Linked DNA regions of Drosophila melanogaster. The protein of the gene in region 1 interacts with the protein of each later gene in a pairwise test. Each region holds a gene or a part of one and is shown in the gene's direction. Other genes may lie near its edges.

The links.
Region 2: the proteins of CG7546 (region 1) and CG1317 interact in a two-hybrid assay, tested with the Drosophila melanogaster proteins (one large-scale study listed by BioGRID).
Region 3: the proteins of CG7546 (region 1) and CG3906 interact in a two-hybrid assay, tested with the Drosophila melanogaster proteins (one large-scale study listed by BioGRID).

What each region holds. Positions count from the first base shown.
Region 1 is NT_037436.4:7,508,955-7,516,996, forward strand, and holds the start of CG7546 (uncharacterized protein), read left to right. Parts: upstream 1-2,031; 5' UTR 2,032-2,422; coding exon 2,423-2,488; exon of another isoform or gene 2,489-2,556; coding exon 2,557-2,674; exon of another isoform or gene 2,675-2,750; coding exon 2,751-2,962; exon of another isoform or gene 2,963-3,015; coding exon of another isoform or gene 3,016-3,018; coding exon 3,019-3,774; exon of another isoform or gene 3,775-3,831; coding exon 3,832-4,438; intron 4,439-4,568; coding exon 4,569-4,667; intron 4,668-4,863; coding exon 4,864-5,400; intron 5,401-5,694; coding exon 5,695-6,627; intron 6,628-6,686; coding exon 6,687-6,823; intron 6,824-6,871; coding exon 6,872-7,096; intron 7,097-7,161; coding exon 7,162-7,512; 3' UTR 7,513-8,042.
Region 2 is NT_037436.4:2,367,323-2,373,911, reverse strand, and holds CG1317 (uncharacterized protein), read left to right. Parts: upstream 1-1,972; 5' UTR 1,973-2,249; coding exon 2,250-3,806; intron 3,807-3,863; coding exon 3,864-5,273; 3' UTR 5,274-5,282; exon of another isoform or gene 5,283-5,486; 3' UTR 5,487-6,069; downstream 6,070-6,589. Other genes in the region: CG9004 (uncharacterized protein), read right to left, coding at 1-116; mRpL23 (mitochondrial ribosomal protein L23), read left to right, coding at 490-783, 845-1,003; CG8993 (uncharacterized protein), read right to left, coding at 1,140-1,386, 1,449-1,630.
Region 3 is NT_033778.4:23,510,697-23,514,296, reverse strand, and holds CG3906 (uncharacterized protein), read left to right. Parts: upstream 1-2,071; 5' UTR 2,072-2,096; coding exon 2,097-2,720; intron 2,721-2,811; coding exon 2,812-2,910; 3' UTR 2,911-3,011; downstream 3,012-3,600.

The sequences.
Region 1 (8,042 bases):
ATATTACAGCTTGATTTAATTTGACGTGAGACTTGCTCTGGGGCCCTGTTCTTGACCAGACCGAAATTAGAAATGTAGCCATGCAATGCGGAAACTCGTACTTGAATACATTTCTAATTCTGATTCTGAAGTGAAGCGATTACAGGTTACATTCGGGAAAATTCAAATGTTGCTTAATGAAAATATGAACAATTGGAAAAAGCAAATGTCATTTACCAGCTGCCAAGAGCAGCGACTTATCAATCTGCCCGATTGATATAATTTCATAAGGCGACCTTTGCCCCCGCCCACAACAACAAAAAAAAAAAAACACTTTCAATGTAGTGCCACGCCCACCCACTGTGACAGGAAAAACTTTTGGTGCAAAAAAGTAATAAAAAGTAACGGAAAGCGTTAGCTTAATAACAAATGGAAAGCGGAAAACGAGAGGGCAGTGCTGGTCGAAAAAAAGGGAATGATAATGAAAATGAAAATGCATAAACAGAAATCGTTGACAAGGCGGTGGGCGGAATGTACTGGGCGCTTAGATGAAGGACGGCTGCGTGGAAAACTCATTAAAACTTTTCACAGCCCATTTAAAAGCAATTTGTAAATTGTAAAACTTGCACTTGGACCGCGCAAAGTCGGTGAAAAACGTTAATAATTATTATTTATACTTTCACGCCAAGCATAATCCATATTGTAAGCGAAATGTAGGCTGAGCATTTTAATACAATTAACTGTTTGTAATTTGTACATCAATTTTCTCAAAATGCTTAATTGGGAATCAAACATTTAAACATAGCATATATCCTGACAACAAGCTTACAAAAACATCTTTTATTATTAAAAAAAAAATCTACAAACTTTAAGCAAGGTATTTTTTTGAAAATACTGTAATTAATCATTCAATTGCTTGCTAAAAACTCAGTTAAAAAAAAAAAAAATCCTCAAAGAGAATGGTGCACTCGGCAATCTGCCACTGCCCATTTCCGTGGCATCTTTTCAGTCCGGAAAATAAGGGCTCGTCGCAATCACTTTGAGCCCGTGGAAAGGCTCACAATCGCAGACATTAAATCAAATTTCCGCACAATTCCGGCAAGGGGTATGCGAAAAATTGTGTTAGCTGCGGTTGGCTTTCCTTCGCAGCCTTCTGCTTATTTTACTTCCACTACCGATGCCACAGCGCCACTTAAATATTCAAAGCGAAAAGTTGCCCTACACCTTTGCGTCTTGGCTGACTTTCCCCTGTTTTCCGTGTTTTCTTTTCTTTATTATTCAAACGCCGCTTTTCATGTGCAGTGCCCAAAAATTCCCACAGGATGCAGTCAAAGGCGGTGGGGTGATTAAGGGTTGGTGTGGGGTTAGGGGCGAAAAGGTTGATGGGTGAATTGTATTTCACATGTGCAGTTCTTTAAACGTTTTTATAGCGCTCATCTCGCTCATGCCCCACACGCTTTACATTGTGGGCAAGAGTCTAGGCAATTCCCTGGAGATATTATACCTTTCGGTTAGGTTAGGATAGCAAAGAATGTTCAAAAACAATATAAATAAAACAGATTAATATATTTAGTACAAATTCAAAAGAACCGCCTAAGTGGTTTTTAGGGCTGCCAGACAAGAAAAAAATTCGTGCACTCTGGTTTGAGTCAATGCTAACAGTGCTGTATTCTTCTTTGTGTTTGCCACTGAAATAATAATTTGGGTATTTTAGGACATTTTGTGTACTATATGCTGAGCTGGCAACTTATCTATTTTGTAGACATATGCAGCTATTATATTTTAAACTTCAGACAAATTAATATAATATATTATATTTTAATCTTAAGACAAGTTGTTATAATATATTTTTGTTATAATATATTTTAAGCTTCAGAAAAAAGGTTATTTATCTGCATATTCCAATTTTTGTAATCGTTACCAAACTCAATAAAATAATTTTCAACTGCTCCATACAATACATATCATTTTTGACAGATCGCTTAATTTTTGCTTTAAAACGGAATTTATTTATCAATACCTGCTAGTTTAGCTTTTTACAAGATGGCATTTGGCTGCTCTTTCACTCCGAGAGTTGGCAACACTGCCACACTGTCAAATTCCAGTAATTATTCTCGTCCACTGCTGTTGTTGAATTGCAAAGTCGCTCGGCGCGTTAGCATAGAAGCCCAGCATATATTTGCCCGATCCGAAAGCAGGCGGAGATCAGTGAAAACGTATACATATTTACCGCTAGTTGAGCAGTGCGAAAACGTGTCCGGAAAAGCCAAAGGCCAACGACAGCGAGTGCGAGCGAGAGAGCAGGTGACAGCGACACCGACAAGATTCCCCGCCTTCCCCCCTCCACCAACGAACCCTTTTCGACTGTTTTTTTGCACGGCACGGGGAAAACCGAAAGAAAAACGAGATTTTCAATTGATTTGCGACGCAGTCCGGCCGGAAAATGCTCATAAACCTTAAGGTGAAGACCTTAGATGCGCGCATCCACGAATTCAGCATCGACAATGAGGTAATGTTTGAGGTTGTGTGTCCAGGTCTAGGGGCTTCTTTATATCCATGCACCCCACCCATTTCCAGCTCACCATCCGCCAGTTCAAGGACCAAATAGCCGAGAAGACTAACATTGCGGCGGAAAACCAGCGTATCATCTACCAGGGTCGCGTTCTGGTCGATGATAAGCAGGTGAAGGAATATGGTGAGTCATGCCCCCGGGAGCACCCACATATATATATGCACTTATATCTAATACAACAATATCAATGCCCATGCAGATGTGGATGGCAAGGTGCTCCATGTGGCCGAACGACCACCATTCTCGCAGCGCGGAGCCAATGCCCGCAACAATGATGAACCCATGCGAACCTTCCGCAATGTGGCACGTCCGCCGCCGCCCGGAATGCGTACTTCTCCGTACTTCCGCGCCCTCGATGGAATGCTGGTGGGCACCATGGCCATACCGGTGAACAATGGTCCAGTAGCTGGGGTAAGCCATTAAGATGAAAGCTCTTTCAACACGCGTATTTAAACGTATCTTAGCAGACACGTCCTCCACCGAATCGTTATCCCAACTCGTCGTCCTTCTGCATTAACCGCATCACGGTCGCCCTGCACATGATCGATTGCGCTGACAATATAGCAGCTTATCTGGAAAATCCTGCCGTTGGCCTGAACAATCAATCACTGGACATTCTGCAGCGCGGTCGCTGGTCGATGGAGTCCACAGTCGTGGAAGTAGGTGTCTCCTCGACTGATCTGCCACGCAACAATAACATCATCGATATGGTCCAAGATGCCGTGACCGCTGCTCTTTCGCATACAGGAGCACGCAACTATACGGTGGTTCAGCTGCCCACGGTTTATACCAATGAGAATGGCGAGACGAGCCAGCAGAGAACAGCCGAAGCTATAACAAGTGAGGGAGCAGCCAGTGGAGCTGCAAGTAATGCTAGTGGTGAAACCACAGCTGCTACTGTGATTATCGAGGATGTTATCGAAACGGACGACGAAGTGGCCGATGGAGCATCAGATCGTTCGGTCACGCCAACACCAGAGCCGGAGGCGGAAGGAGCAGTTGGTGGCCAGCAAGTCACTGCAGCAGAGACTCCCACATCCTCGGTTGGATCAGCAAATGACGCGGCTGCCGAAGGCGGCAACAACTCAGGACCCAGGCGACGCACTCGTCCTCAGGTGTTGGCCCAAGTTATTCAGCACTATCGTGGCGTACAGGCTCGCTTGGCGCCTTTTGTTGATCGGTACTATGAGATTCTCCAGAATGATCCCACTTTTGAGGAGAGTGTAAGTTAATAAGCCGAGCTCTTATAAGCCTATTAAAACATTAAATTCCTTTTTTAGGACACCGATGGTCGCGAGAACGCACAGCGCATCTTCGATCGCGTCTCGGAGGCTTTCCACTACCTTTCGCACGCCCAGCACGCTATATCCGATTTAATGCTTGACCTGTCGCAGCCAGGGCCACGTGTGCTCACCTGCCGACCCATTCTCGTTGAGCAGAGCGGTTACATACGCTCCAATAACATCTTCACGCCCAACTTTTTGGCACCGCCCTCGGGTATTATCAACGAGCCTTTCCGCAATAGAGCACCTGGTTCTGCCTCTGCAGCTGGCACTCAAACGGCCACCACAGCGGGCACTCAAACGCCCACCAGCGCGGGCACTCCAACTGCTGTGGCACCTTCGCAGGCTGCCAATTTGCAGGCGGCCACCGATGCCAGTCGCAGTGCAGCGGCCATGGCGGAGATCGCCAGTCGAGCTGCTGGAGCCGCTGCGGAAATGGCTGCCGGAGCTGCCAGTGCGGCTGCTGGAGCTGCGAATGCGGCTGCCGCCGCCGCTCGCGATTTATCCAGTGATCAAGTAGAGGATCCCATCGACGAGCCTATGGTGGGGCCAAATGCTGCAGGTGCTGAAACACTAGCACAAGAGCAACAGCGTCTCGAAATGGGTAAGAAACTTTATACAAACACTGTATGCAGATGAGGCTGTGCAAAATCAAATTCACTCATGGCCTTAGACAAGGAATTCGTGTCTCTGAATCGTAAATATTCCCGTATTATTTGTTGAAAATATTCTAGATCACGACCACGATCAAGCTCAAAGTGAAACTCCCGAACGAGAAACCCGACCAGTGCCTAGGCTGCGTGTCTATGTGCCAGTGACTTTGCCACCGCCCAGTATGTTTTGATTGTTCGGTTGAATCCAACGCCTCAGTCATGGCAGACTAACCATAATCTTAGCTGCTCACTCACTGCATCCCTACTTTGGTTTCACTTTCACTTTGCTAGTTTGATTCTTTTACTGACCCGGCCCTAAACAAATTAACCCTTGCTATACTGAACGCTTCAAAGAGCTGTTACTGCTGCTTTACAGATCCCCAATTGGAAATGGCCCGAATTATTCAGGCAATGGTCAATGGTCAACGACCGAACGATATCCATGTGGAATTCAATGCCCCCAACGTCATGTCGATTAACTTGCCCGTGCATGTGATGACGACCGTGCGACAGGCTCCGGCAGCTGGATCGAACGAAACAGCAGATCAGTCTGCGTCCGAATCCTCCTCCCCTGAAAGTGCGCCTGCGTCGGGCAATGGAGAGTCTCCAAATGCAGCTTCAACATCAAGTGGAACACGCAGTGGCGATCAGAGGGCCAATACCTTGCCCACCACGGCCACCCAAACGCGCTCGACATCAAGACCACAGATTCAGATTGGCGGAAACAACAACTGGGGCGGACGCATTGCTCCGACACACACGGCATTCGACCGCTTTCTGCCTTGCAATAGTCATCACATTCGGGAACCAGAGCAGCTGCTCCAAAACAACAGTACCAGTCGCAGCACCTCGACAGCACCAGCAGGAGGAGCCACCGTTGTTCCGCCCACATCTGCTGCAGTAACTCGTCCTGGTGAGTACGGCTCCCATCCGGGGAAATCTAGCAAACACTACCTTATGTCCACGATCCATTTCGCCAATCCACCAATCCATTTCATTTGCACACTCACCAACCGGAGATGGAAAGCCAAGTGTATCAAAAACCTGTCGGATCAGGGCGCGATAAATCTTTAAATGCTATACGATTTTAAAATTTTTACAAAATTTAATAGTTAACTATACTAAAGAACTATTTATTTGCTATCTCGACCTCCGACTGGCCTCCATCTCTGACATTAATTTCCATTTTATCCATATCATCATTTAGTCACCACTGGTCGCATCCAACGCGGCAGTAACACAATCCGCCCAATGTGGTCGTCGCGTCGCCAGCGACCAGCCAGCGAGCAACTAAGCAACCTGGGACCGGCAGCCTGGGCGCAGGCGCAGACCCAAACAACTCATATACCAAGTGCCCACGTTGGTGCTGGCAGTACCAATGGGGCCGGAGTCGGAGCCGGGAGAGTGCGGCCCGTTGGAGGATCGACCATCAATCGTGATCGGCTGGCGACTCGAACGGCCCACGTTGGCGGTGGCAGCACCAACGGAGGCTTGCCCTCTGGCCGAAGGGGGCGACTACAGGCCGCCACCAGTCGCCTGTCCAGACATTTACCCACCCAACTCGCTAATTTTTTGATTAATAATATGAGAAATAATGCGCCAACAGCTTCGGTAGGCAGTGCAGTTGCCGCCGTCGGAGATACGGCCGCCTCACCATCAGGAGAAGCTGCCCCAATTGCTTCAACCACGCCAGCTGCTCCGCTACAAACTGTTTTGCCGACATCCACACCCACTCCTCGCGGAGACTCGAACAACCTGCGTTCGCAACTGCGCACCTTCCTCAACGACAGCCTGTTTGTCGGAGTACCCATCAACGAGCAGACTATTCCGGGGGCCATTGGTCGCGCACTAGACTGGTTCGGGGAGAGCCTGGTCTACCTGCCGCAGTACGAGCGTCCGGAGTACAACTCGCGCGACTCTGTGTGCAACATCCTGCGTGTCAGCCTCCGTTTGATCATCGAGCTTTGTAATGGAGCTCCGGCCGGTGTAGATAGTGCTCAATTCGAGCAAAGTCTCAAACAGATTTGTGACCAATTCCGCAAGCGGCTATACAGCGTTCTCTTCCTGTGCCTTGGAAGCGCGAATGCGGAGCTCTATTGGCGCCAGCTAATGCGCCTCCTTTGCGCACCGATGCGATCCAGTAAGTTGACACCAAAAGTGATCGTAAGTATACTGGTTAACTCAATATTTCTTTTGCAGACTTCCGCAACGAAGCCCTGCAGTTTTTGTGCATCTACATAGACCCCACGATTCCCGCCCAAACTGACACAGTGGATGCCCAACAGTTCCTGGTCTTGCGCAGCATTCAAGCAGCTCCTCCAACAGCTGCCGACGAGGTAGGTTTCCAAACTATTTTCCATGCCCAGAAACTTATGCACTAATAGCCATTTGTGGCGCCGCCTCCTTTTGCTTTCAACCCACAACAGCAGCAGCTGCAAGAGCAAACTCTGGACACGGATGTTGAGATGTCCGAAGTGACCGCCAGCGGCAGCAACAGTTCACCGGCAGACGAGCTACCAGCTGTGATTGTGGGCTCAGAGCCTTGGCACATGAGTTTCCCCAATGATTGGTTGCCTGTGATAACGCGCGACCTACAGACCCAGGCAGAGGTAGGTTATTCCGTACAACTTTCTGGAATTACACTAAACTATGTCTCAATCTATGTATCCTGCAGCAGAGTAATCGTCCCCAGCCGCCCTTCTCGGATGCCTACATCTCGGGCATGTCCGCCAAGCGCCGCAAGATAATTCAGTCGGAAAAGCCGACTGCCAGCGTGGAGTGTCTCATTGCTAATGGAGTGCAGAGGGCTATCCAGAGCGTCGGCTTGGGTGGAAGCAATGGTGGTAGCGCCTTAAACGCGTCGATCAGTATGGATACCGTAATCGGATCCATTGCTCACGACTCCACCATTCAGGCCGCCTACACGGATGCGGTGCGCAATAGTTTAAAAGAGCGTACCGAGCGGGATGTGGATTTTAAGACCAGCAAGTATCCGCAGATTGCCAAGTTCACCGAGCAAAAGTAGGGGGCAGATACGGAGACGGAAGCCTGGCCACCTAATGCTTCTTGTACATTTTACTTTAATAAATTGTATTTAATTTAGTTAATGGTTAAGTTCTGTTTAAATCGAGAAGACGACGAAGATTGCGACAACACCAACACACGGAGTGGACCCTTAGCAAATGCTTCAAACTATTTAGAATAATAATATCCAACTGATATTTATCCACACACACACAGAGATACACACACACAATGGGTCAAGACGCAACAGAGCCCAATCAAAAACAATTTTTGCGGTGCATGAATGAGCAAAATAAACACACATATTAACCGAAACAATGGCGATTGGAATTGGATTAAATGGACTTGGATATTAGACCACACACCGAGCGGAATGCTTTCAATTGTCCCAAATGGCGGTGGCGTCCCCGCGTCGGATGACGTGCTGCAAAATCAGAACAGACCCGTAGACCCGTGACGACAGCCAAATTCCGAATTCCAGCCAAGTATTTTGGCCGGCGCCAAATCGCCATTGACGTGAGCCGATGGCAC
Region 2 (6,589 bases), 5.1 Mb from region 1:
GTTTTGCCGGCGAAATAAAGTCGTTTATTCTGTTTTTTGAACTCCGACTTCTGTTTTCTCTGCTCCTTGCGAGTCAAAGGTTTAGCTTTCGCCTCCTTTTTCTTTATTTTTGCCATTTTAAACGGCCTTTACCAGAGATTTCAGCCGGACCGAATTTAAAAATTGTTGTGGTTGACAATCAGCTGTTTAAAACAAGTGTTGGACAACCCACGTGCTTTTACACGGGTGTAGGTAACAGTTCTTTGAGAGGAATCTAGATTTAGTGATATTATTTTTTAAAAGTGGTAAAAGTGTGGAATATTTTATAGTTACAGCGTAATAACTTAAATTAATATATACGTTAAGTTTTAGTTAACAATCTTATGCGACCCCCTTGCTACGCCTGTGTCCGCCCGAAACCTTTGGCCTTTTTTAGTGCATTTCATAAACGCACAACAATTAATTTAATTTTTGTATTCTTGAATTAGAATCTTAGATCCTGGCTAGATCATGTCCACGAGGTGGTATCCCATCTATCAGCGCGGCAATCCGCAGCTTCGCGTTTTCCTTCCCAACTTCTGGATGAAGCTAATCCGACCCACGGAGGAACAGCCACCCAATGTGGTCACTTTTTCGGTGTCCATGGAAATGACCAAGTACGATGTGCGTAACTATCTGGAGAAGATCTACAAGCTGCCGGTGGTGGATGTGCGTACTCGGATTGCCATGGGCGAGACCAAGAAGGATCAGACCTACGGCTACATCACCAAAAAAGACGACGTGAAGCTGGCTTATGTAACATTGGTATGGCCCACTACAAGCCCCTGATTCAATGGATATTTCCAATGATATTTGTGTATTCCAGCCCAGGGAGGAGTCCTTTGTCTTCCCCGACTTCTTTTCCGAAAAGGCTGAGAAGCAGGCCAAGGAGGAAAAGTCGCTGGATGAATCGAAAGCCGGTTTCCGCAGATTTCTGGACAGGAACAAGAAGCGACCCGGCACGCCGGGCTGGTTTTCCATTTAGTTTTTAGTGTGTAATCGTAGTACTTTTCGTTTCAACGGGTAAATAAACATTTATTTCGAAAGTCCGAATTAACCTAAAGCTCAGCTTTATTTGCGAGGAGGTCAACCTCCACTTTTTTTTTGGGATTTCTCAATTATTACTTGGCCTGTTTGACGGCGGCGGCAACCCAGGCCCGGATTTTGTCCTCGTCCTGGAGTCCCACCATGCGCTGCACCTCCTTGCCGTTCTGCAGCACCACTAGCACGGGCACGGCGGCCACATCGTAGTCCAGAGCCAGTTCGCTGTGCTCATCTATGTCCACCTTGGCCAGCTTGATGGAACCGGCCTGTTCGCCCACAATACTCTCGATGCGCGGGGTTAGCAGCTTGCAGGGATTGCACCAGCTGGTGGATTACAATATAAACATTAATTTGCCATGTCCTCAAATTGAAAATATAAAAATTACGTTGCGAAGAAGTCCACAATCACGGGCTGCTGGCTGTTCTTTACTTTCTTGTCAAAGTCCTCGGCGCTCTGGACTTTGAAGATCTCCTGTCGCGGCGCAGAAACTGACAGCATGCGAATTTGCTGGCCGCTAGCCAGGCGACGCGTCGTCTGTCCCAGAATGTTAATAATCTGTCGCTGCATGGCTTATTTTCTACAATTTCTCAGTGCAAAAAGTTCAGCGATTGATTGCAAAATAATGACAAGAGAATCAGAACAACAACAATGAGTGTGGTGGGGTTGCCAGATGGATTGGTATTGCCTAATGATGTGTGCACACACTGTTTCATTAACTGTTACTTCCCGGTCATGATAATTTTGTTTTATATTATTTAAGTTAAAAACTTATATTTATTAACCATAACTATGTAATCTTTTTTAATTTTCAATTTATGATTAAAAAATGAATAACGATATTTCGTTCTCTCAATCTATCGAACTAGTTGGCATCTCCGTTGAGAAAATAATCAGCAATTTCATGGTGTGCACACATTGGCTCTCCTTTTTTTGAGAAGTAGTCTTGTTTTGTTTTGTCGTAATAATATCCCAACTTTTCGGTTAAAATTCAAGTGTTACAATCGCATTACGGTCCGTAATCATCGAAAGGTTAATTGGCGCACATAAAAGGCGGGTATAATCGTCTTAAAACCCCCGTACCCTCGGGTCAATTACGGAAATTGTCCAGCGAATTTCGCAAATGACCAGTGGAACTTTAGTAATTCAGTCAAACTGAAGACCCAGGATCCGGGAAAAAGTTATCAGTATGGACGACCTGTCGCAGGGCGACATTTGCCGCGTGTGCAGATGCGAGGCACAGCCGGATAGGCCTCTTTTCTACCCGTGCATCTGCACTGGATCGATCAAGTACATTCATCAGGACTGCCTGATGTTATGGATGCGCTACTCGCACAAGGAATACTGCGAGCTGTGCAGCTACAGCTTCAGCTTTCAGCCCATCTATGCTCCGGATATGCCGCGAGTCCTGCCGATAAAGGATGTCCTTGTGGGACTGATGTCCGCCGTTTTGGAGGGCGCTCGCTGCTGGCTTCATTACACCCTGGTCGGTTTGGCCTGGTTCGGAGTGGTGCCGCTGTCTGCCTACAGGACCTATCGGTACCTCTTCCGGGCGAGCTCCTTCGATATGATTCTCACGCTGCCCTTTGACATCTTCTCCGTTGAAAACCTGGCATCGGATGCCTTTCGGGGCTGTTTTGTGGTCACATGCACACTTTTGTCCTTCATAGGATTGGTCTGGCTGCGCGAGCAGATCCTGCATGGCGGCGGACCCGATTGGCTGGAGCGGGACGATGCCCCTCTACAGGCAGCGGCTGCTAATCCTGCGCCTGATCCCGCCGCCGAGGCAGCTCCACAGCCTCAGGACGACAACAACAATGCCGACGACAATGAAGCGCCGGCTCCAGCGGACAACGATGGGCAGGATGCCCAGGCCCAGGATGCCGCACCAGCGGCTGCAGCTCCCGTCGTGGACGCCGATGCCGATGAGCAGAATTGGAATCCCATGGAGTGGGATCGGGCTGCCGAGGAGCTTACCTGGGAACGCCTGCTCGGACTCGATGGCTCGCTAGTTTTTCTGGAGCACGTCTTCTGGATCATCTCACTGAACACCATGTTCATCTTCACCTTCGCCTTTTGTCCCTACTGCGTGGGCAACTTCATTCTGAGCTCCATGGATCTTTTGCAGCCCGAGAAACCACTGCTACACTTTCACGGCCTGATTACCACGCTATTTGGTTACTGCTGCATTGGATTGACCCTGGTGGTGCTGCACTTCTTCTCCAGAGTTTTCCGCCTGCGGAGAGTCTGCTGGTTCATTGGATTGTGCTATATTGTGGTCAAGGTGTCGCTGCTGTCGGTGTTGGAGATCGGAGTACTCCCGCTGATTTGCGGCTGGTGGCTGGACATTTGTTCGTTGCCCCTACTAGATGCCAGCCTCAAGGATCGTAAAGAGAGTTTTAAGGCTGCTCCGGGCACCTCACTTTTTGTCCACTGGATGTTTGGCATGGTATACGTTTACTACTTCGCTGCGTTTGTATCGTTGTTGCGCGAGGTGCTGCGACCGGGAGTGCTCTGGATATTCCGCAATGTCAACGATCCTGACTTCAGTCCCATCCAGGAAATGATCCATGTACCAATTGTGAGACACATCCGGCGGCTGGTCGCTTCGGCTATGATCTTTGGATTTGCAGTGCTCTTGATGCTCTGGCTGCCCATTAGAATTCTGCAGGTGGTTTGTCCGGACTTCTTGCCATATGCACTTAGTGGCGATTCAGCGGTTAACTTGCAATTGCTGCTCTTACAAGTAAGTTACCCGCAAACTTATTTGAATAACTTAAACAATCTAAACTCGCCATTCCAGATCGTTTTGCCGGGCTTCTTCGAGCAGACCCAAACACGCATCTGGCTAAAGGGCTTGCTGCGCATTTGGTGCACAGCGGTGGCCTGGTTGCTGGGCATACGAAGCTACCTGCTCCCAGCACCGGAGCCGGAACCGGAAATTCCCGCTGCTGGAGAAGAAGGCGTGGAGAATGCCGCTGGCGAAAATGAAAACCAGGAAGGTGAGGCAGCGGATGCGGCAGCCCAACCACCAGCACCACCTCCTCCACCGCCACCGCCAGTGGAACCGGCGCCGGCACCACGAAACCTTGCCGCCGCCCATCAGGCCATCATGCAACGGGATGCACCCGTGGGATTCCAGCCGTACGACAAGCCATCGCTGTTCGCTTTACGTTTGTGTGCCCTGTTGGCACTCATGTGTTTGTCCATCGTTTGTGCTGCCATGTTGACGCTCACGGTTCCAGTCTACATCGGTCGGCGGCTGATGTTGATCTGGTCCTCCCAGCCGGATGAGAAGGCAGCTGGAGCGGCAGCCGCAGAAGGAGCGGGCGAAGTGGTTGAAAATCTAGATCCAATCGATCCGGAAGGAGCCAGAAAGAACGAGCGACTACTGCGCTCGCATGAGCTGTACACCGCTGAGCTTGGTGGTTACCTGTGCTGGATTGTCTGCCGGGTAGTAGCTGCGGTGGTCACCCTGCTGCCACAAGGCCGCGCGGCTATTGTCGACAAGATAAAGCACTGGGTCCGAGTGGCATTGCAATATGCCCTGCCCGTTCTAACACTCCTGGGAATCTTCGTGCTGGTTCCGTTGCTGATTGGATTGCTGATCGAGTTGGCGGTGGTCATTCCCCTACGCGTTCCACTACGCAAGACACCAATCCACTTCCTATGGGAGGATTGGGCGCTGGGAGTGCTCTACTGCAAGATAGCCATCGCCTTGACGATGATGGGCCCAGATTGGCACTTGAAGCGTGCATTAGATCGAGCCTACATGGATGGATTGCGCGATTTCGACTTGAAGTTTGTGATGCGAGACTTGGCTGTGCCGGTCGTTACTACCATTGGTCTGGCCCTGGCCATACCCTATGTCATGGCACATATGATGTTTCCGATTTTCCTAGCGGACGCCTATGCTCAGCATGTCGTCGCACGGCTCGTGTATCCCGTAAGCTTCATTGTGGTGGGCAGCATATGCATCCTTTTGTTCCAGATCGATCAGCTGAAGAAGCTCTATCTGTCCATCAAGGTGGATAAGTACCTGGTGGGTCAGAGGCTGGTCAACTATGAGCACCGCAAGAAGCAGCAACAGCAGCAGGAGGAGGAGAAGGAGCAACAGCGGGCGGCCCGGGAATTAAGGGAGAACCAGGAGAGAGATCGGGAGCGAGAGCGGGAACAGTTGGTCCAGGAGCTCGAGTTGGCTGAACTTCTGTAACGAGATCAGGTGCGAAGCGTAGGTTTTTCAGTTTCTAATATGTGCGACAGGAGGAGGGGAATCAATAAATTATCAGCTCATGGAGGCTATTAGGTTCTCACGTTTAAAATTGTTAAACTCTTTGAAATATTTAAGTTTTTCTATTGATAATAATGATGGCAATCTTTTGTTTCTATCTTAAGAAATTAAAGCATGTCCAATTTCTATTTAAAGATTTTTATTTCAACCCGACAAGGAGAAGGACACCAGAATGTTGAAGCCGTTGAAGTATTCGTCGTGCTTTTTCGTCGTGGAGATGCTTCTGCTGCTAATATATATCCCCTGTTTAGTATCTATTGCTCTGCGTTACGCAAGGATTTGGATTTGGATTTCGTTATAGCTTAGTACCTTTGTTTTCCCAATCTTATTATCCTTTGCAATACGATTAATTTGTTAGCTGCAATTGTTGTTAAATCCTTACGCTGCACAGTTTATAGATCCTAAGTTGTATGATATTTTGACTTCCGCCACATCCTTACAAGCACTTACAGAACTAAACGATGGGCAGCGATTAAACCTTGTATTAGAGACGTATGCAGAAACTACATCTGAGAGTTGTCAACTTTAGGAACTTTAGAGAAACCCCAAAAAAAAAAAAAAACCAAATCCCATATGGTAAAAGTGGTGAAAAATGAATGGATAGTGGAATAGAAAAATGAACATTTTCGAGTTAGCTTTACGAACTGTAAAAATTACATATGTAACATTATAAATATAACTGATTTAAAATTAATTAATAAATTAAACTTTAAACTTCAAAAGGAGCATTCGAAATTGTTTATAGCTGATGGGGACACAATATTCCTGCAAACAAATTGATCCAGGCATCTGTTGTGCCACGTCGAAAAGTACAAGAAATATATACAGACAATTAATCAACGTCCAAACATATTAAATGAAGCACCATAATGTAAGTGGAGTCAATGGATGAGCGCTTCGCTCAAGTGAGCTAATCATTGAATTCCTTCTGTGTTGGCCATGAGCGAAGTGAGGGGCGATGTCAATCATACGCCCTGTGTGCCACCGGCAATTGACAGAAACGAGTCTCGCCCACGGCAAACGGAGCGTATGAGGGATGACCAGCTGGAGGGAGATCGACAGCAGGGAGATTTCAGGATGTACGCCCCGAATATTCCTTGTTAAAAAAAATGCTGAAAAGTTGTTCGCTTTCCCCCAGAAAGTTTCGACTGTTGCGAATTTGTTGTGCGACAAATAGAATAGAATAGAAAACAGAAATCGAAAACTTTTCAATGTTTGCAACTTAAATTGTTTTGTGG
Region 3 (3,600 bases), on another chromosome or scaffold:
GTGTGTGTGTGTGTGCGCTGGGCCCTGGGAAATGGGAAATAATGCGCCTAGTGCCAGCTCCAGTTGGCAGTTTGTTGGCTTTCAGCTTTGGTCGCTAATTAAGCCTGTTTATCGAAGTAAGTTAGCTGTTCAACTTTCGCTCCACAGCCCCCCCCCCCCGTTCCACATCCTTCGCCAAGATGATCGGCTCAGTTTAGTTTAGTTTTATCAGCTAACTAAATTAGCTGTCTGCCTGTCGGCATATGTATGCATTGTATATGTATATGAATGGCTGTGTATATGGAGTATGGATGAAGTGTCGCCACAACTGAATTGGGGAGCGTTTCTAAGTGCTGTAATAAAGCGATTCACGCAAATGCCTTCGAGTTCGGCGCTTTAATTGAGTAAATTATTGGGGGAAATGAAAATGGTTGGCCAGATGCGAGCAACTTTGTGGCCATGTCTTGCTGACGTGCGGTTATCGTGTGTCACTCGCCTGCGGAAACGGGCTAAAAAGTGGCTCTGCGGTTTGCTTTGGTTATGACAATTTATTGGCCGCCAGCATTAATTAAACGTTAGTCAAGGTCAGGAAACCGCAATTAAATAACGAGCGGATAGTTGAGGAAAAGCGCTCACATGCAAAGTGAAATGTGTGTGTAGCATGCCATGCCATTTTCCGGGCCAAAAGGGGTCGTTTGTAAGCCATCTGAGCTGAACTTCACCTTTGGCCAAAAGTTTGCACACTGCATGCAGTTTATTTGCTTCATTTGAGCTGCTGACTGCCGAATTGAATTGAATTTTGTACCGGCTGCGCCAACTATTTTATCCACTGAAATAAATCGCCGATTAAGCTTAAGTGGAAGCAAGTTTAACTACAGGAAAATTGGAACTATTTTCTGTTGTAAAACTCGCTGCAATTTGTATTTTTCCCATGTCTCCGAATTCGCAATTGAGTTCGAGCATTGCAAAAAAATTGCAAAAAAAGGCGTAAACATGAAAACAAAGCAAAAAAAAAAGAAAATGTTGAATGGAACTATTTCCGGTCCATTGGTTGGCAAATATTTGCTACATTTGTTTGTCATGAAAGCGGAAGAGATATCTTCGGAGCCCAGAAACTCATGACAATTGCGGCAAGATAAATGTGCCCAGCGAGGCGCATGATTATTAATATTATTACGCAGAATTTTTCCATTTTTTCCTGAATTCGCCAGATTTCATTCAATCCATTGAGTGCCGAAAAGTGCTGGAAACTTTCGTCCGAGCTCGAATGGAATTTGAATCTCCTGCGAGTAGCTCTGCAAACAGAGGGCCATGAATCAAGCAAGTTGAGGAGCGAAGCCCCTGGCCAAACAATCACTGCCCCCCCTCTGGACAGCTGGGTCCTTTTGCTCCTGATGCCCCACCAAACTTGTTTTGCACTCTGGGGTCTGAGCACTTGGTCCTGTGGATAAACGTTGGACTCACTTTGACGAGTCCCCTCGTCCTGTTTTCTCCCATCCTGCCAGAACTACGGAACTAATGAGTGGGTTTGACCATACATACTACATTCACTCCCCCAAAGTCATAATCACATGCACACAGACGAGGAGCATCAGGTGCATAAGTCATAAGGCTTTTTGGTGGGCAGCATGGGAGCAACTCTAATTTGCAATTAATGAAGCGCAGAGCCCAGAGATTATAAGCGAATTTCGGAAATTATAAGCTCTAATGGCAAACAATTAGATGTTGTGCACTAAGAGAACATCAGATAAATAGCACAATTCATATCCTATATATCCTGCTGGTTTATTCACGAAGGAATGAACAACCCACTTTTGTGAATCATTGTTTTCAAGTGTGAAAAGATGTTTAGAACACGATCCGCTCTTATCTTGGCGCTAATGTTGAATAGTGTTTACCATTTTCGCACATATGACACGGCTTGTTTTTGGCCAACTGATAAGCGGAAAGTGGCTCGGACGAATTCCGCTAATTGGCAGGCGATAAGCGATGTGTCCGAGAAAAGGGGAAATGCATGTAATTGACTCTGCCGCCGATGGGAGGGCCATAAAAGCAGGTGATGAACGGCGGGTTCCGGCCACAGTTAACTTGAATCTCGGCCAGCTAAAAAGGAGACGATGGACGCGAAGACGTTGATACTGTTGACCGTGGCCGTGGCCATATTCGCCTGCCACACGATCGCACAGCCACATTACATTGAGGTGTCCGAGGAATCAGAGGAATGGTGTCCACCAGAAAATAACAATACCGATAATAACAATCCGAATAGAACCGATCACGACTCCGCCCTGTGCGCCAACTTCCAGCACATTCGCGCTATGATCAATCAGGAGGCCCTGCTCAATCTGATCGAGGTGCACTACAATTGTGATCTGAAGTTCCGCCGCGCCATGCGGTACTACAACACAGCCGGATTCGAGAGGACCACCCAGCAGCTCACGGATACGGATGCCTACAAGACCGTTCTCAAGGAACTGCAGTCGGAGAGCGTGGATACCGCCGACATTGAGACCGTGGCGGATATCTTCCATTGCATCATACTGCCCGTCCGCCAGCCCGATCGCAACTGCGACTGCAAGGCCGTGAAGCACCACACCTTCGTCGGCGATCTGCTCTCCATCATGCCGAAGCAGGAGGTGCACAACTATGTGGCACAGTCCCAGGCGAATCACACCAACTTCGGCAACTTCACCAAGGCGGTGGTCTCCAAGCAATTCCAGGCCACGCTCAAGGCCAACATTGTGAGTAGACCCACTCGAGTTGAGTACACAAGAGTGTGGCAGTGTATTAACTCCTTTACTTCTCATTCTCACTTCCTCAATTATCCTGCAGAACAAGCGCGACGTGGTGAAGCCACTGCGCACCCTGCGCAAGAACGGCTGGGACATCCCAGAGCTGCTACGCGCCATGCTGACCATCTTCCAGTGGTGAGTGGAGTACTCGTAGCCGGAGTGGAGTATTCAATGTGTCTCCATTGTATGTATGTAAGCCCAATAAAGCAACAAGTGAAAGGAAACTGTTCCGCAGAAGCGAACTCACGGTTGACACCTGTCCTGTTTGTTGGGTGCGGAATGTTGTGTGGCAGTGGGTGGTGCAATTACCACCCGCCGTGCCCGGTAGGACATCAACAAGTTTTCAGTACGGCCTCGTCGCCTTCAGCGGGCTCCACTTGTAATTGGCATCCATGGGTGGTAACTGCAGCGGAAGTGTCGAGGAAGGAAGGATTCGTGTTGGAGATAATCGATCCACGACATTTTACGTGGTTCTTTTCATTTCAAACCATTCCGCCTGCAGCCATTTCCATTTCCATTACCCGGAAAACCTGAAGTTGGCAGCGTATATTGAGGCTGTTATCTACAACTTTCTTGAAGTAACTTTGCATTATTACTTAGGCAGCTCTGGAATATTTGAAATTTGTTCTTTGAGTCGCGGAATTCAAAAGTGCGCCATAGTATATTTTAAATTGTTTGATTTTACATTCAGCCACGGAATTTCTTTGGCACACAACTTACACCTTAAAGCCAATTGTATTACTAGTAGAGGCCTCCCATGGATTGCGAGTGCTTTCCCATTAGGGACAACCCTCCTGCGCCACTTGGCTGTCCCAGCTGGGTATTTGAT